2 linked regions of the Tamandua tetradactyla genome follow. The protein of the gene in region 2 purifies or fractionates together with the protein of the main gene of each other region. This does not show direct contact. Links are inferred from orthologs where the notes say so. Each region holds a gene or a part of one and is shown on either strand. Other genes may lie near its edges.

Region 1 (7,706 bases), on a different chromosome or scaffold from region 2:
ACTTACTGCTTTTTTGTATATATGTTATTTTTCACAAAAAAAAAAAAGGAGAAAAAGTCGATTGTGATGATAAAAAAAATATTTAAGCCTTCTAGCCGCCTATATCCTGGAGCAGCTAGAAGGAAAAATCTGAGAGGATCATATGGTAGCCCATAACAAACTCTGGGATCTGTCCTGTAACTACCTGCTGAAGAGTGCTTTGAAAACTATTGCTTTTTTTATTTCATTGCTTTGTATATATGTTATACTATACAATAAAAAAGCTAAAAAGAAAAAAAGAAGCACATCTAAAACAAGGTCATGTATTGATTGAGGAAAAGTGAGTGACTGAAGCCTCACAGGAACCTAATCCCAAATTTCCCCTCAGGGCAATGTATTCACTAAATTAAATATTCCCTACTTCAGTATACACTGAGACTTTATACAACGTAAGTACCAAAAATAATGAGAATCGAATGTATTTGTTGAATGTCTGCTGAACATGACAGCTTAGAGGCCAGTCAGTAAGCCTGATGCCAAGATTTTAACAGGCCCACCTAGGACCTTAGTCATCTCACACAATGACCAAGAGTCTTTGCTCCTCCTAAAAAGCCCACTCTGGGCTTCTGCAAGGCTGCTTTGCCCTGCCTTGTCCCTTTCCCTGAATCCTTACATATTGTGAGTTCCTTCCTCAGGGGCACATCTACTCTCTTGGATTTAGCCACCCTCTTTCAAGATGCTCAAATTTGTCCATCTTCAATTTGGTCTTTTTGCTGAGTTCTGGGCCCACCTACTTCAATCCTGACTTCTAGCAACCCCAAAGCAGTCCTCGCTGGGACTGCAAAGGGACTCTGGTCAGATCCCTTCAGAGCCCCTTACTAAGACATTCAGTGACCTTCCCCAGCATGAAAGTTCCTCTTTCTGACTTCCTGAATTTTGCCCATGGATTTTCCCTGTCACATGGACTGGAAACCTCCCAGAGATGACCTTTTACCTTGGGCAGTGTCTTTAGCCACCAAGTTCTACCCCAGTAACATCTTTGTTACCTATTCAACCCTTAACTCCCCATCTGAGCTCCTGGAAAGTACATCTGCCACAGCTGAGCCTCACTGAATGGAGGAGAAGAAGACAGGGTGTTAAAATATTTCAAGCATCAGGAGTCCTGGGCTCTTAACCTTGGGTGAATCCTTTCTCTCTCTTAACCTTAGTTTCCCCAATAGAAAAATCATCAGATGGGATTCAATCTCTAATGGCCCTTCCTTCTCACTTCTGCCACCTAATAATCTATTGAAACACTTGGTAAAATAGCCTGGTTCTGGGAACAACAAACCCACCTGGGTTTTTCTCATCCTCATGTTGACTGAGTTATAGTTGTCATCAGCTTCCTCCTGGGGCTCTATGGCTGTGGGAAGACACAGGAATATGGGGGGAAAGAGGGATTGACTTGTGACTTCTGAAGATTGTTTGGGGACCAGAACACAAGGCCAGGGCCATATTCCAGTTACAAAATTAGTGATCTACATAGATTTTGTTAGGGAAATATAATTTAGCACAAAATGACTAATTTTGGGCCTCTGACAGGAGAAAGTGTATTTTTCTTTGCCACGCATCCATGAATTCCCACAGGTATGCAGAGGCCCCCCTAACAAAACCCCTACCTGCTTGTTCAAAGAATGCACAATGGACAGAAAGAATTGTAGGAGTAAGTAGTTTCATTGCAAATAAGAAAATCCCAGGGCAGCCATGGGCTGTGGAAAACGCATGGGACTTGAAGCCAGTAAACTGAACTTCTAGACTCAGGCCTGTGTATAAAGTGAATATATCACCAGCAGCTCTGGGCCATCACTCTCCTGTACACCACAGGGCCAGAGAAAAGGATCTGAGGTCCTAGAAGCTCACCCTTCAGCTGTATCTGGATGTCCCTCCCCAGCTCTTTGATTTCATCCCGCAGGTTCTGCAGGTCCTGCTTCATACCTGAACAAAGAGAAGACCATGAACCCCAACAGCAGTCTATACCACAACAAACCACTCTGGCCACCACCTGCGTGGAACTACAACCCCCACAATCCCACAAGTTGAGCAAGCGCTCTGCACTGGAGTTGTCACTCACTCTTTTCGGGAAGGGGCGTGGCCAGGATGGTGACCTGCTGCTTCTCCAACTCCCGCACTTTGTTCTCCAGTTTGACAATAGTCTGCCGAATTGTGCGGACCTAAGGAGGGAGACAGAGAGGGCTGAAGGAGACATGGGGTACTCCAGACTGCACGCTGCTCGTCAGCCCCGCCCCAACCCCAGCCTTGCCCCCTCGTGAAATACACGCCGAGGCCCCAGCTTACCTTCTGGAAGAATTCTTCGTCCGGACTTCCCAGCCGGGCCGTGCCCGGGTGCACCACCAGCGCGATCCGCAACTTGTCCTCATCGTCCGAGCTGTCATCCCCCTGCCAGGGCCAGGGTCATTAGCACCACTTCCTTTCTGTCGCTTTTGCCCCGCGGGACCCACGGCCTTCCGGGTGTTTCCTGCCAGGCCATCAGCCAACCCCTTCCCACCTCCTGTCCTGAGGTCCAGAAGTCCTGCGTTCCGGCCAGATCCCACCCCGTCCTCCCGCCCCCAAGCCTGCTCCCCCGACTCCTCACCTGCCTGAGCTCGTGGGTCCTGTCCCGCATGGCGGCCCGAGCTCCCTTTGCCCGGCGCTTGAGCCCCGTGGGCCTCAAGTTCTGAGTCTGGAACTCCCGTGTCCCTCTCGCACCCTGACACTCCCCTGTTTCACTAAGAGGACCCCAAAAGCCCCACTAGCCGCCAGAGGCCCCACCCCTTGCAACGTCCACAGCCAATGGGAAGGAGCCGGCCGCGGGGACCCCCTGGAAGACTCCACAGGTTGGAATTCCCTCCTCTTCCCCGCCCCCTCCACTCCCATAGCCTCGGCCCCACCCCCTGAGCAAGGATTCGGAGCATGCGCACGAGGATGCGTCTCTTCCTCGCCGGAGGGAAAGGGCGGAGGTCGGAAGCTGTAGTGCCCTGAACGGAAGCGAAACTGCGCTAGGTGAGAGCCCGCCTCCTTTACCCGAACCAGCTTCCATTGGAAATTCAGTTGCCAAAATGGGTGGAAATGCGTCATTTGTACGTAATCTGAGCGGTCCCGTGTCTCACATCACCCCATAGTGCCCTCCTCGTCACGTGACCGGCCCGGTCCCAGCACCGTGGACCGCGGAACGTGATGCTCCAGGTGTCACGTGTCCCGGTTCTCTGAATGCGGTCCCTGGGACACCCTTCACCCCACGACGCCCCTGGGACCCCAGCGTCCGGACTACGCTCCCACAGCCCCTACAAGCTAAGGCTGCGTGTGCGATTGGGAAGAGGCGCTGACTATCCCCAGAACCCTTTGGAAGCAGTGGGTAGTAGGACTCTTGTTCAGTCCGTTTTTGTTTTTCGGGGGGGCGGGGTCCAGCGGTTTGGGCAGAGACTGCCAACTTCGAATTGGGGGCTGTCAGCATCATGGGACTTTGAAAATCAGAGAATAATAAACTCCCAGTTTTCAACGTCAGAGAATTGCAGGGTTTTCTTGGCAGAGGTACTGGGGGTGGGAAGTGACCTCACCCAAGGCAGAACTCTCTCCTTCCGCAGACTCCTGGCACAGTCTCTGACAGGTGGGTGGCCGGACGCCCTGCTTGAACACCGCAGTCCCACTGCACTCACCACCTTCTGAGCAGCGAGGCCATTTAGGGGCAGCTCAGGCTAAGAAAAGCATCGCGTTACCTTGAGCCCTCTACTTCCCTGCCCCTTACACCCCATGCCCACCTCATGCTTGGTTCTACCCCCTGGGATCACCGAAAACTGCCCGCTTCGGACCTTACTGTAGGCTATGAACTTTCTAGGTTGAAGTATGACTGCCTTTTCTTAACTGAATCCCCAGCGCCTAGTTTAGTAATTACACACATAATGAACCCTGTGTAAATATTTGTTGATAGGATTTTAGCCTTTCACATGTCTGAAGATGATATAGCTTATGGTTCCCTGGTCTCTTCCTTTGGGTTTCAGACTCTCTCACAGTAGCACTTCCCTGGCCCTGGACCTCTAGACATTGATTTGTGCAACAAATATTTATTGAGCACATACTATGTGCCAGGCATTGTTCTAGGAATACATCAAGGACGTAGCAGACAAAAATCCATGCAATCAAGGAGCTTATATTCTATGAGAGGAGTGCCCAAAGCCAATCAGTGAATTTCAGCACGGCCAGGAGCAGATCTCAGGACTCCTGGATCCCAGGGCTCTTCCCAGGGAACTATTATTTGAAGCCTGAAGCAAGGAAGGGATGGCCTCTGTCTTCTATGCTCTGGTCAAGAGACCTGTATTTCTGTCATTGAGTGACTTCCGGCTTCTGGCAAGTCACTTTTTATCTCTGGGTCTTGATCTCCCATCTGTTCAATGGGTTAGCAAAAGGGGGATATCTCTAAAGTTTGCTGATTATGAACTTGGAAACTTCGAAAGCTGTCTGATTCTATGTATAGGGCTTTGATCGTTCTCTAACCTCTAAAACCCAGCCTGGGATTGGGAGTGAGGGAGTGAGTATGATAGTCCTCATCCATCCACAGGGGTAATGAGGATTGGAGGGCCTGGAGATCACAGAGAATTTCTCTGCTCTTGGGTCTTGTAGGTAATTTCCTGCTTCAGTTAACTGCCACTTGCCTCTTGCCTCCCTGTACCTGTCTACACCCCCACATACCCCACTCCAGTCTCTTTATTTCTCTCTCTCATACTCTGTCTCTGAGTGGTTCAATGGAAAGGCTTGTGGGCAGCTGACTTCTAATCCTGTGTGTGACCCTAAAGAATTCATTGTTCCTCTCTGGGACTCAGTTTCCCCATTTGACAATTTGGTCTGTTAATTTCTGCCTTGCCTAGGGTAAGAACTGGGAAATATCAAGTGAGGGGTTAGGAAGAATGAAAAAGGGTCTTGTGAACTGTGAAGGACTGCCCTCCTCTCTGGGCTTCTACTGCTGTGGATTCCAGCTCTCTCCCGTCCCACCAGTCCCATTTTCCACCTCTCTGTATCTCAGTCTCTTGATGACTTTCTCAGTCTCCAAATGCAATCTGGAGTTGTTGGTGCCTCTGTTAAACTTCTCAGGATTATGAGATTCATAATTTCCTTTGGTCTCTGGGTGAAATGGTGACCTAAGGTCACAGGAGGCTGGGCTTAAGGCCACATGGGCTCATGTGTGGAGGGGGCAGGGGAGCAGAGGCCATGTGGGGAGCCTGCCATTTATGTCCCTAATGCTTTGGGGGTTGGGCCCTCCAGAACTGAACACTGATGTTTATTTTATGCCTCTTTGTCACTCTTCCAGGCCCACTGAGCAGCCTTAAAGCTGGGTGTGTGTTAAATATATTGGGTTTGGTGCCTGTAGGTGTTGGAGTTGGCCCTACCTTGTCCTGAGGCTGAGTAGCCAGTCCCGTTCCCTCTACTCACAGGTCCAGCCCTCCAGACACTGGAGCCAGATGACCTGGGTTCAAATCACAGATCCATCCCTACTAACCCTGTGACCTTGCTAGGCAAATTACTTAACCTCTCTATGTGTAGTACACCCAAACACATGGAGCCCAGAATGGGAATGAGGATTTGTAATTGTGTATAGCTTAATGTAATACCCAGATTCATCCCAGAGTATGCTGAGCAGATAATTAAAAAGTATTTGCAAAGTCCCTTGAGGGACTGGAGAAAAGATATGGAACTATTAAACTTTAGCACTAGGGAAACCCCTGATACCGTCTCAAACATTAGGGACTCCCAAATCAATAGGCCAAGCCCTTGATCTTGAGGCTTGCTCTTATGAAGCTTATTTCTGTAGCAGAGAAGCTAAACCTACCTATAGTTATGCCTAAGAGTTGCTTCCAGGAAAGAAAACCTCTTTTGTTGCTCAGATGTGGCCTCTCTCTAAGCCCAACTCTGCAAGGAAAACCATTAGTTTCCCCTTACATGGGACATGACATTCAGGGGTGAAAGTCTCCCTGTCAACGTGGTACATGACTCCCAGGGATGAGACTGGCCCTGCACCTTAGACTCAACATCTTCCTGACCAAAAGGGGGAAGACAAATGTAACAAAATAAGGTATCAGTGCCTAACAGTGTTCAATAGAGTTGAGAGGCTATTCTGTATGTTCTGTATATTCTGTATGCAGGCTTCAGCTAGATATTGGTAATTACCACAGTTTTCCAAGCCCCAACCAAAACCATTCCTGTTAACCCTAAAGAAGACCTAGGGCTCTATCTGAGATTATACAAAAGTTGCATGCACTAAGATTACTATCTAGAAACCTACAACCTCCAGATGGTTCCTAGGCCAGATAACTCCTGAAACCCAGGGCGTCTCCAAGAACATCACCTAGTTCATCCTCCTGTCCCATAATGTCGACACCCCTTCCCAACATGAAAAAGTTAGAATGGACATAGCCCAAATACCCCTAAAGATTGAGAGAAGGTTCAAAGGAGAAGGAGGAGTTGTAACAGAGAAGATAGGATTTAACAAATGAGTGTGACTGTAGAATCATTATATTGATAATTCTTTTAATCTCCAGTGTCTTAGAATAGTTAGAAGGAAAAACCTGAAATTGTGGAACTGTAACCTGTACCAAACTCTGAAATCTATTCTATACCTACTTGTTACAACGTACTTTGGAATTTATTGCTTTTTTGAATGTATGTTAGATTTCACAATAAAAAATGTTTGAGAAAATGAAAATAGCAATAGTACTTGCATCATATGGTTGTTGTAAGGGCTAAATGAGATCATATATATGAAGTGGTTAAAACAGTGCCTTCTACAAAATGAGTGCTGTATAATGTTTGCTGCTATTATGTCACGGTGATGAAAATGATCATTACTCCAAACATTTTATCAGCTCCAGTGTCTCCACCAGGGATTCTACGCTGCTGCTTATCCAGTGTCTTCATTCCCTTTTCCATCTTCTGAGCCCTACTCTGCAGCAGGTCGTAGGCGAACAGCCTTACCAGCTCCTGCACAGCTCTCATTCCTCAGTTTGGAACTAACTGTATTATTTATTATTTTATTTTTATTATTATTATTATTTTTTGACATGGGCAGGCTCCGGGAATCAAACCCGGGTCTCCAGTATGGCAGGTGAGAACTCTGCCTGCTGAGCCACCATGACCCACCCCCTACTTGTATTTTATTAGTCATATATTTTGTTTTTCATTTTGTATATTGTCTGTCTTCACTGGCCTCCCAAATAAAATGCCTAGAATGTAAAATTTTCACCTGCCTTACTCACTGCTGTGTCCCCAGGACTTGCAATAGTGCCTGGCACAATAAATGTCCACGAATGAATGGAGTTACTTATTTTTTATTTTTATTTCTTTTTAATTAAAAATTTCTTCTTAAGTTTTAATCCTTTTAATTTTATATTTACATAGTGCTTACTGTGTTCCAGGCACCAGTATAAGTGCTTTATAACTGCTAATTCAGTTCATCCCCAAGACAACTCTATGAGATGGTGTGGTAGTTAGATTCAGTTGTCAATTTGGCCAGGTGAACGTGCCTAGTTTTATTGCTGTGAACATGAGCCAATGGTACGTGGACCTCATCTGTTGCTCATTACATCTGCAGTCGGCTAGGAGGCATGCCTGCTATAATGAATGATGTTTGATTTAATTGGCTGGTGCTTAAATGAGAGAACTCAACGTAGCACAGCCCAAGCAGCTCGGCATACCTCATCTCA
Region 2 (7,181 bases):
GGCAGTCCCACCCTTTCCAAGGGCCTACACAGAGGCCTGCTTCTCTTCAAATGCAACCTTGGGGGACACTGGGGAGACCACCTTTTTCTAGGCTCCACCCTCTCCAAGCATTGGGGCTGCACCCAGTCTCTCTGCCATCTCGGGGGCACACGCTCAACCCCTCCATGTGGTGGCAGCCAGGCTCTCCCCAAACCCCAAGGAATGTGCTTTACCCTCTCCAAGGCCTGAGGCGGCATGACTCTTCCACGGCAACCAGGTGGAAGGCCCATTCTCTGCCTTTGGGGCAAACTCACCCTTTCCACGGGCTTGGGTGGATCCACTCTCCTGGCCCAAGGCTTCTTGACTTCAGGCCTCAACCTCCATGGTTTTGCCTCTGAAGTTATTTTTCCTCTAATGTGTCCCTTCTCTGAACCCCCCAGTCCAGACTGGAGGCGACTCTGTTTATACAGTTCCCACAGCACTCTCGTTGGCTTTCTATGCAATAGCCTCGGATCATGCCCATCAGACATAAGGAGTTTCCACAAATCCTTCCTGTATAACTCCATGTCCAATCCTGGCTTTCTCTGAGATGGCTGACTGGTTCCACATCTGGTCAAATCCTCACATGGATGCCCTGAATTTTCCAGGACATCATATTTTTGGTTTCTTTGTACCCAAGAGTTCAGTTTTCAGCTTATCTCTCTCCTGTTGCATTTCACTATAAGCTATGAGGAATAACCAGGCTGCACTTTCCACATTTAATCTGGAGATCTTTTCTGCTAAATATCCAAGTTCGAGGCTTTTAAAATCTGCCTTCCAGCTAAAGCCACTAGTCAATTTTGCCAGATTATCTGCCATTTTAAAACAAGGATCACCTTCCTTCCAGTTTGCAATAACATGTGCCTCATTTCTGTCTAAGGCCTCATCAGAGGTATCTTCAGAGTCTACATTCTATCAACAGTCTCTTCAAAACATTCTAGGCCTTCTCTATCAAGCTTCTCACAACTCTTCCAGAATCTTCCCTTTATCCATTTAAAAAGACACTCCAACATGTTTGGTATTGGCAAACTACAGCAGCACCCCACTCCTGGTGCGAAAATCTGTTTTAGTTTGCTAGCTGCCAGAATGCAATATACCGGAAACAGAATGGCTTTTAAAAAGCAGAATTTAATGAGTTGCTAGTTTACAGTTCTAAGGCCGAGAAAATGTCCCAATCAAAACAAGTCTATAGAAATGTCCAATCAGAGGCATTAAGGAAAAGATACCTTGATTCAAGAAAGCCAATGAAGTTCAGGGTTTCTCTCTTGGCCGCAAGGGCACATGGCAAACAAGGTGTCATCTGCTAGCTTTCTCTCCTGGCCTCCAGTTTCATGAAGCTCCCCAGGCTCTTCATCTCCAAAGGTCACTGGCTCGTGGGCTCTCTGATTCTCGTGGCTATGTCGTTCTTCTCTGCTCTTTCTGAATCACTTATTCTCCAAAATGCTTCCTTTTTCTGCTCCTCCCGAATGGGTGGAGTCATGTCATCACCTAATCCAGTTTAATAACCACTCTTGATTACATCACATCTCCAGGGAGATAATCTAATTACAGTTTCAAGCATACAATGCTGAATAGAGATTAGAAGAAATGGCTGCCTTTACAAAATGGGATTAGGATTAAAACATGGCTTTTCTAGGGGACATACATCCTTTCAAACCAGCACAGTTTGCAAAACCCCAAACAAAACCATTCCTGTCAACCCTAATGAACACTTAAGACTCTATCTGAGATCCTACAAAAGTTTCATACACTATGATTACTTTCCAGAAACCTACAACCTCTGGATGGATTTTTAGGCCAGATAAATTCTGAAACTCAGAGGGGCCAGCCTCTCCAAGAACGTCAACTAGTTCCATCCCCCTATCCCATACTACCCACAGTCCTTATCAACATGAACAAGTTAGAATGGGCATGGCCCAAATACCCCTAACGACTGGGAGAAGGATCACGGGAGAAGGAGGAGTTATAACAGAGAAGATAGGATTTAACAAATGAATATGACTGCTGAATTGTTATATTGATATTTCTTTTAGTATCCAGTGTCTTGGAGCAGCTAGAAGTACAGAACTAAAATTTGTGTAACTGTAATCCATACCAAACTCTGAAGTCTATTCTATAACTAATTGTTGCAGCGTACTTTGAAATTTATTGCTTTTTTGTATATATGTTATATTTCAAAATAATATATATATATATACTGAAAAAAATATATATATATAATGGAAGAAAAAAAAGCATATGGTGCCTTTGGGAAGGTCATGTAACTTGGTATGATCTGGGCTAGGAGGTGAATCTAATGGAGAATGAGCTTGGGAAAGCACACTGAGAACAGTCTGACTGCCATGCTAAGGAGCTGGGGCTTTACCCTGGAGGGAGATGTTTGGGGAGGATAACAGGCTGCCTGTGGACTTCATAGAGAAAGAAAAGTCATCTTGGAGTTGGTTGGAATTTTCCAGTCATGCTGGCATTAACCAGGAAAGGAGGGAGTGGGTGTGAGAGATAGGACCCAGAAGGCATCAGACTTGGTGCTGGTCCATCATGCATGGTGAATGGCTTGGGATTTCTAGCTTGGGAAAGCAGGAGAAGGTGAGTACCACCCAGGCAGAGGAACAAAGGCATGAGATAAAGAGCTTGCTTGGGTATTGGAGGTGTGCATGGAACTTCCAGGGCTTTGGAGAGGCAGTGTTGGCAATTGTGAGGTCAGAGCTGGAGATACAGATTTGGGAATTGTCCACAAATGGCTGCTGAAATCGCAGAAGCACTCCGTTCTCCTAGGGAAACCAAGGGTTTTCAATCTGCAACTCTGGACAGTTTGGTCTGGAGAATCCTTTTTTGAGGACTGCCTTGCTGCTTACTTTCTGCTTACTTTCAGCATCCCTGGCCTCCATCCACCCAAAGCTATGGGGCAGCCACATTCTCTGTGATAGAGAACACTTGTCCTCCAAAACTCAGGTTGGCATAATCTCATAATTTTACAATCTAAGAGGGATTAAGATTTTATTAGATAGTAGAAGGAAAGAATCTCAAAGGGCTAGAAGAGTCAAAAATGTATTACAGTCCTTTAAAAAGTATTTGTTGGAGGAACTGACATTTCCCTCATGGAACTTTTATCTTTTCTGGGATAGAATAGAAAATCCTTTCTGCACGACCCTGATATTGTTCTTCTGTCTGATAAAAGCCATCCCAGAGAGTGGATTTTCCCTGGTCTTGAGTCAGTTTGCTGGAAAAATCCTTTGGCCTGTGCTCTCCTTTAATTCCTTACCCTCACCCTCTGAGGTCTGTGTTAGCATCTGCAAACCCCAGAGAGTTTCTGTAGGCTACTCTTATGCAAGCTTCAGTTACACGTTGGGGTTTAGCAAAAAAAAAAATTTAGCATGGTTTGCTAAACCCCAACCAAAACCATTCCTGTCAACCCTAAAGAACACCTAGGGCTCAATCTGAGATTCTACATAAGCTTCATACACTATGATTACTTTCCAGAAACCGACAACCGCCAGATTGGATTCCTAGGCCAGATAAGTCCTGAAACCCAGAGGGGCCAACCTCTCGTAGAACATCACTAGTTCCATCCCCCTGTCCCATATTAGTGACAAGCCCTTTTGAACAAGAAAAAGTTAGAATGGGCATAGCCCACATATCCCTAAAGATGGAGGGGCTCGCTTTGGCTCACCCAGCTAGTAGATGCTGCAACTGAGACTCAAACCCTGCATTTTCTGACATGAGCTCAGGATCTCAGCAGTCCAGATCTTGGGGGGACGGGGCAGGGGTCGGGGGAAGAGGTAGTGCTTCTGCCCACCCCCACCCCCACTCCCCTAACCCTGGGACCTGGGCCCAAGGCTTGGTCCAGCAAGGAATTTCCCTGTGAACCAAGCCTGGCAGAGCACTAAGGGGATTTCAGTCGCTAGGAATTGGGGCCAGATATTCAAAAAGGATGGCTACCCTTTCTGGAGGAGAGGGGCCAACCTCAGGGAACTCGGGGAGGAGGGGGGTGCTTCTTGGTCATTCTTTTCTCGTTCCTGACACGTGGGAAGAAACCTGGCGCCCGAGGGACGCCCTGTGGCTTTAAGTCGAAGGCTGGGAGGGCGGTGGAGAGCGCCCGCCCCCCTGCAGGAACCTGCTCACCTGAGGCAACCTGCCCACCAGCGGGAACCCGCCCACTGCGGGAACCGGCCCACCTGCGGGGACCCGCCCCGCTGCGGGGACCTGCGTGAGGTGTGGCTGGAGCTGGGATGTGAGGTGGGCGGGGGCGGGCTGGAAGTTGGAGTAAGCAGGAAGTGAGCCGAGGGGCTGGCCCGGGAGGAAGCAAACTAGGCGAGTTAGGCTGTCGCCCCGCCCGGCCGCTTGAAGACATGGTGAGCGCCCTGGGACTGAGGAGGGGCCTCGGGGCTGGGGGCGTCCGCGCTGGGGGAGGGAGAGTTGGTGGCAGAGTGGATGGCTGGTCCCGGCGCGGCCTGGGGACTCTCTGCTTTCACCACTTGGCTGCAAATGGTTCTGAGCTGCCCTCTGTGCTCCCTCCCTCCCCTGACCTCTGTGCTGGCTAGGAGAGGGGATTTTGGAGTGATAATTGGGACGGGGTAGGGGTGGGGGACTCAGAATTCCTGGCACAGGACTGCCCTGTCCTCCTTCGTCTTCTCCTCTGTCTGGCCAGGGGTTGTGACACTGCAGGGCAGCCGCCTCTGCTGTTTCCAGCTTAGATTCCAGCCAGGCGGTGGCGCTCCCCACCCCCTACCTCCCGCTTTACCCCCCCTAGACAGAAACCCACCGAGCCCAAGGACTCATACCCCTCTTGGTAACCCCAGGAAGAGAGCTAAGGGTTGGTAAAACAACCTGAAGTTGGTCGTCTGTGTTCATCTCGTTTTGACTCAAACCCCTGGCCTGTTGCTGGAGGCCCAGTGGGTCAGGGAGGGAGGAGCTGAATTAGGTTGTTCTCTCCCTGTTCCGAAACCTTATCGTGAGGCCCCAGGCTGAGGCAGCCGCCGGGAAGAACTTGCCCTCCATTTCCCCCAGCACCCAGTCTGCAAAAACCCAGTTTTTAACGTAATATCTGCAAAGCAGGCGGTGGCTCGGGGCCTGCACGTGGTGGCTAAGTGGTGGGGAAAGCAGAAGTTTGCGGCTCAACGGCTTGTGGCGCCTTGGGTGGGATGTGAGCGGGGTGGCCCCCTGCGCGGGGTGCACCAGTGGGGTAAGACTGCCCCGGAGGCAGGGGGCCGGGCCAGTTCTCCCGCTGCTGCTGCCTGAGAGAGAGCAGCAAGTCGGGCCAGGCAGAAAAGACACTTTTCAGAAGGGCCCTGTAGGATGAGGGAAAAGGGGAATGGGAACTGGTGACTGATGGTGAGGTTCTGCCCTGGAAGGGCACAGGGACCCCGGGCACCTGAAAATCCATTTTGATCTAGTCTGTCTAGCATCAGCTCTCAACTTCTGGAACTTAATGTGTTGAGTTTTTTTTTATTACACAAGTAATACACGAAAACATTCTCTTTATAAACAGTTCAAGCATTACGAAAGAAAAGCCAAAGTTGGCCTTACCCTCCTCTGGCCTCCAAGGCTGAGCCTTTCTCTTCCTGCTCCACTTAGCCTAGTTAACCCCTGTGTTGCTGCCCAGGAGGGGACCAGTGGAGGAAATGACCAGGTGCGGAACCTGCAGAGCGAGGTGGAAGGGGTCAAAAATATTATGACCCAGAATGTGGAGCGTATCCTGGCCCGAGGAGAAAACTTGGACCATCTTCGCAACAAGACAGAAGACCTGGAAGCCACAGTGAGATGGGGGTGGGGGGAGGAGGCTGCGGGGGGCTGGAGGGGGAAAGGGAGGGGACTCCTGTGTGGAAAGAGAAAAGTGTTTATCTGTGGGGCAAAAAGAACAGGAGGGATAGAAGTGTTGTTTCTATTCCCTTCTGACATATTTTGGGAATTGGTGTGAGCTGAGTTTCCACTGCTGTTTCTCTTCTGCTTATGCTGAGTGATCTTGGGGCCCAGCGAATGGGTCTGGTGACTGGGGTTTGAGGGCGCTGGCCCATAGACTCATATTCAGAGACAGATGGATGCCTCCGTCTGTCATCCTGTGCATGCTTGTGAAACTGGTTTTCTTTTTTGAAGGCTGCCCTTGACAATGCCATTTGGACTTGACATCTTCAGGGCAAAAATACGGAGTCTGGGAAAATCCTGCGAGGGCCTTTGACCTCCTCCAGGAGATGGAGGACAGCTGGAGTGCTTGCTAAGTCAGCTTTGCAGAGGGGCCGGGGAGAGCAGTGACATTCTTTGATGATGGGTTCCTCTGCCAGCAGAAGACTAGAATAATATCTCCCACAGGCCCTGCTGGAACTTATTCTTTTTTCTCTTCGGCCAGGGGCTCAGGGAGGGAGTGACTCCAAAGTTCAGCTCAGGCTTCGTGTCCAGTGGGAGAGGCTGGTTCTAGTTTTCTCAGTCCCGTGTGTGATCTTGGGCATAGCCCCTGTCTCCTTGGGACTTGATTTCTCTTTCTCCAGCCGAATGTGGGGAGGATGGCCCAGGCAAAGTAGTTTCTGCAGTGAGTGCTGGGGGAAGGGGAGGAGTTTCACTTACTCCCAGCCCTGTCTTCCCCCCTCCCCTCTATAGGGCTGCTGTCCATCCCCTGGCTTTGACAGTCCCTGTGGGGCAAGGAGACATGGAGTCAGGGAGATGTGCCTACCTGGAGCCTGCACCCCTCCCCACCAGTGTCCGCCCTCCCAAGGCCCGGGAGTATGTGGCCATGTATATTGAGCCCTTCAATGTGTGAGGTGGTGCCAGGGGTAAGGAGAGAAGAGGGCAGGTCAGGGACCTGACTCCATGCAGGTGGGGAGCTCCCAGGAATCGAGAATTCTTTAGTCAGGAAGTGATATTTGTCAAGGTAGGAGGGTAGAAGTGTTTTGGTTTTCTTTTTTTTGCATGGCCAGGCACCGGGAATTGAACCCGGGTCTCCATCATGGCAGGCGAGAACTCTGCTACTGAGCCCCCGTGGCCTACCCATGGATAGATTTTTGACTTGATTGTCACCTCAACTTATAATTGAAATATGTGGGTGTTCAGACAATTGTCCCAGGCCCTGATAATATTAGGGCCATGCCTGCTCCGCACCCACCCCACCCTTCCACCATGGGAGAAGGCCCTGGGTCACTCACTTTCCCCTGTCCCCAATAGTCCGAGCACTT

Evidence for each region.
Region 1: the proteins of VAMP8 (region 2) and STX4 purify together in Homo sapiens (affinity purification with western blotting; 3 studies listed by BioGRID and IntAct, with this or other methods). This does not show direct contact. The link is inferred for Tamandua tetradactyla from reciprocal best matches to the Homo sapiens genes VAMP8 and STX4.

The regions. Positions count from the first base shown.
Region 1 is NC_135349.1:23,489,961-23,497,666, forward strand, and holds the start of STX4 (syntaxin-4), read right to left. Parts: upstream 3,006-7,706; 5' UTR 2,642-3,005; coding exon 2,612-2,641; intron 2,416-2,611; coding exon 2,314-2,415; intron 2,190-2,313; coding exon 2,090-2,189; intron 1,954-2,089; coding exon 1,879-1,953; intron 1,382-1,878; coding exon 1,314-1,381; intron 1-1,313. UniProt on the Homo sapiens protein: Plasma membrane t-SNARE that mediates docking of transport vesicles. Necessary for the translocation of SLC2A4 from intracellular vesicles to the plasma membrane.
Region 2 is NC_135343.1:59,880,767-59,887,947, forward strand, and holds the start of VAMP8 (vesicle-associated membrane protein 8), read left to right. Parts: upstream 1-4,165; 5' UTR 4,166-4,367; coding exon 4,368-4,370; intron 4,371-5,620; coding exon 5,621-5,773; intron 5,774-7,170; coding exon 7,171-7,181. UniProt on the Homo sapiens protein: SNAREs, soluble N-ethylmaleimide-sensitive factor-attachment protein receptors, are essential proteins for fusion of cellular membranes.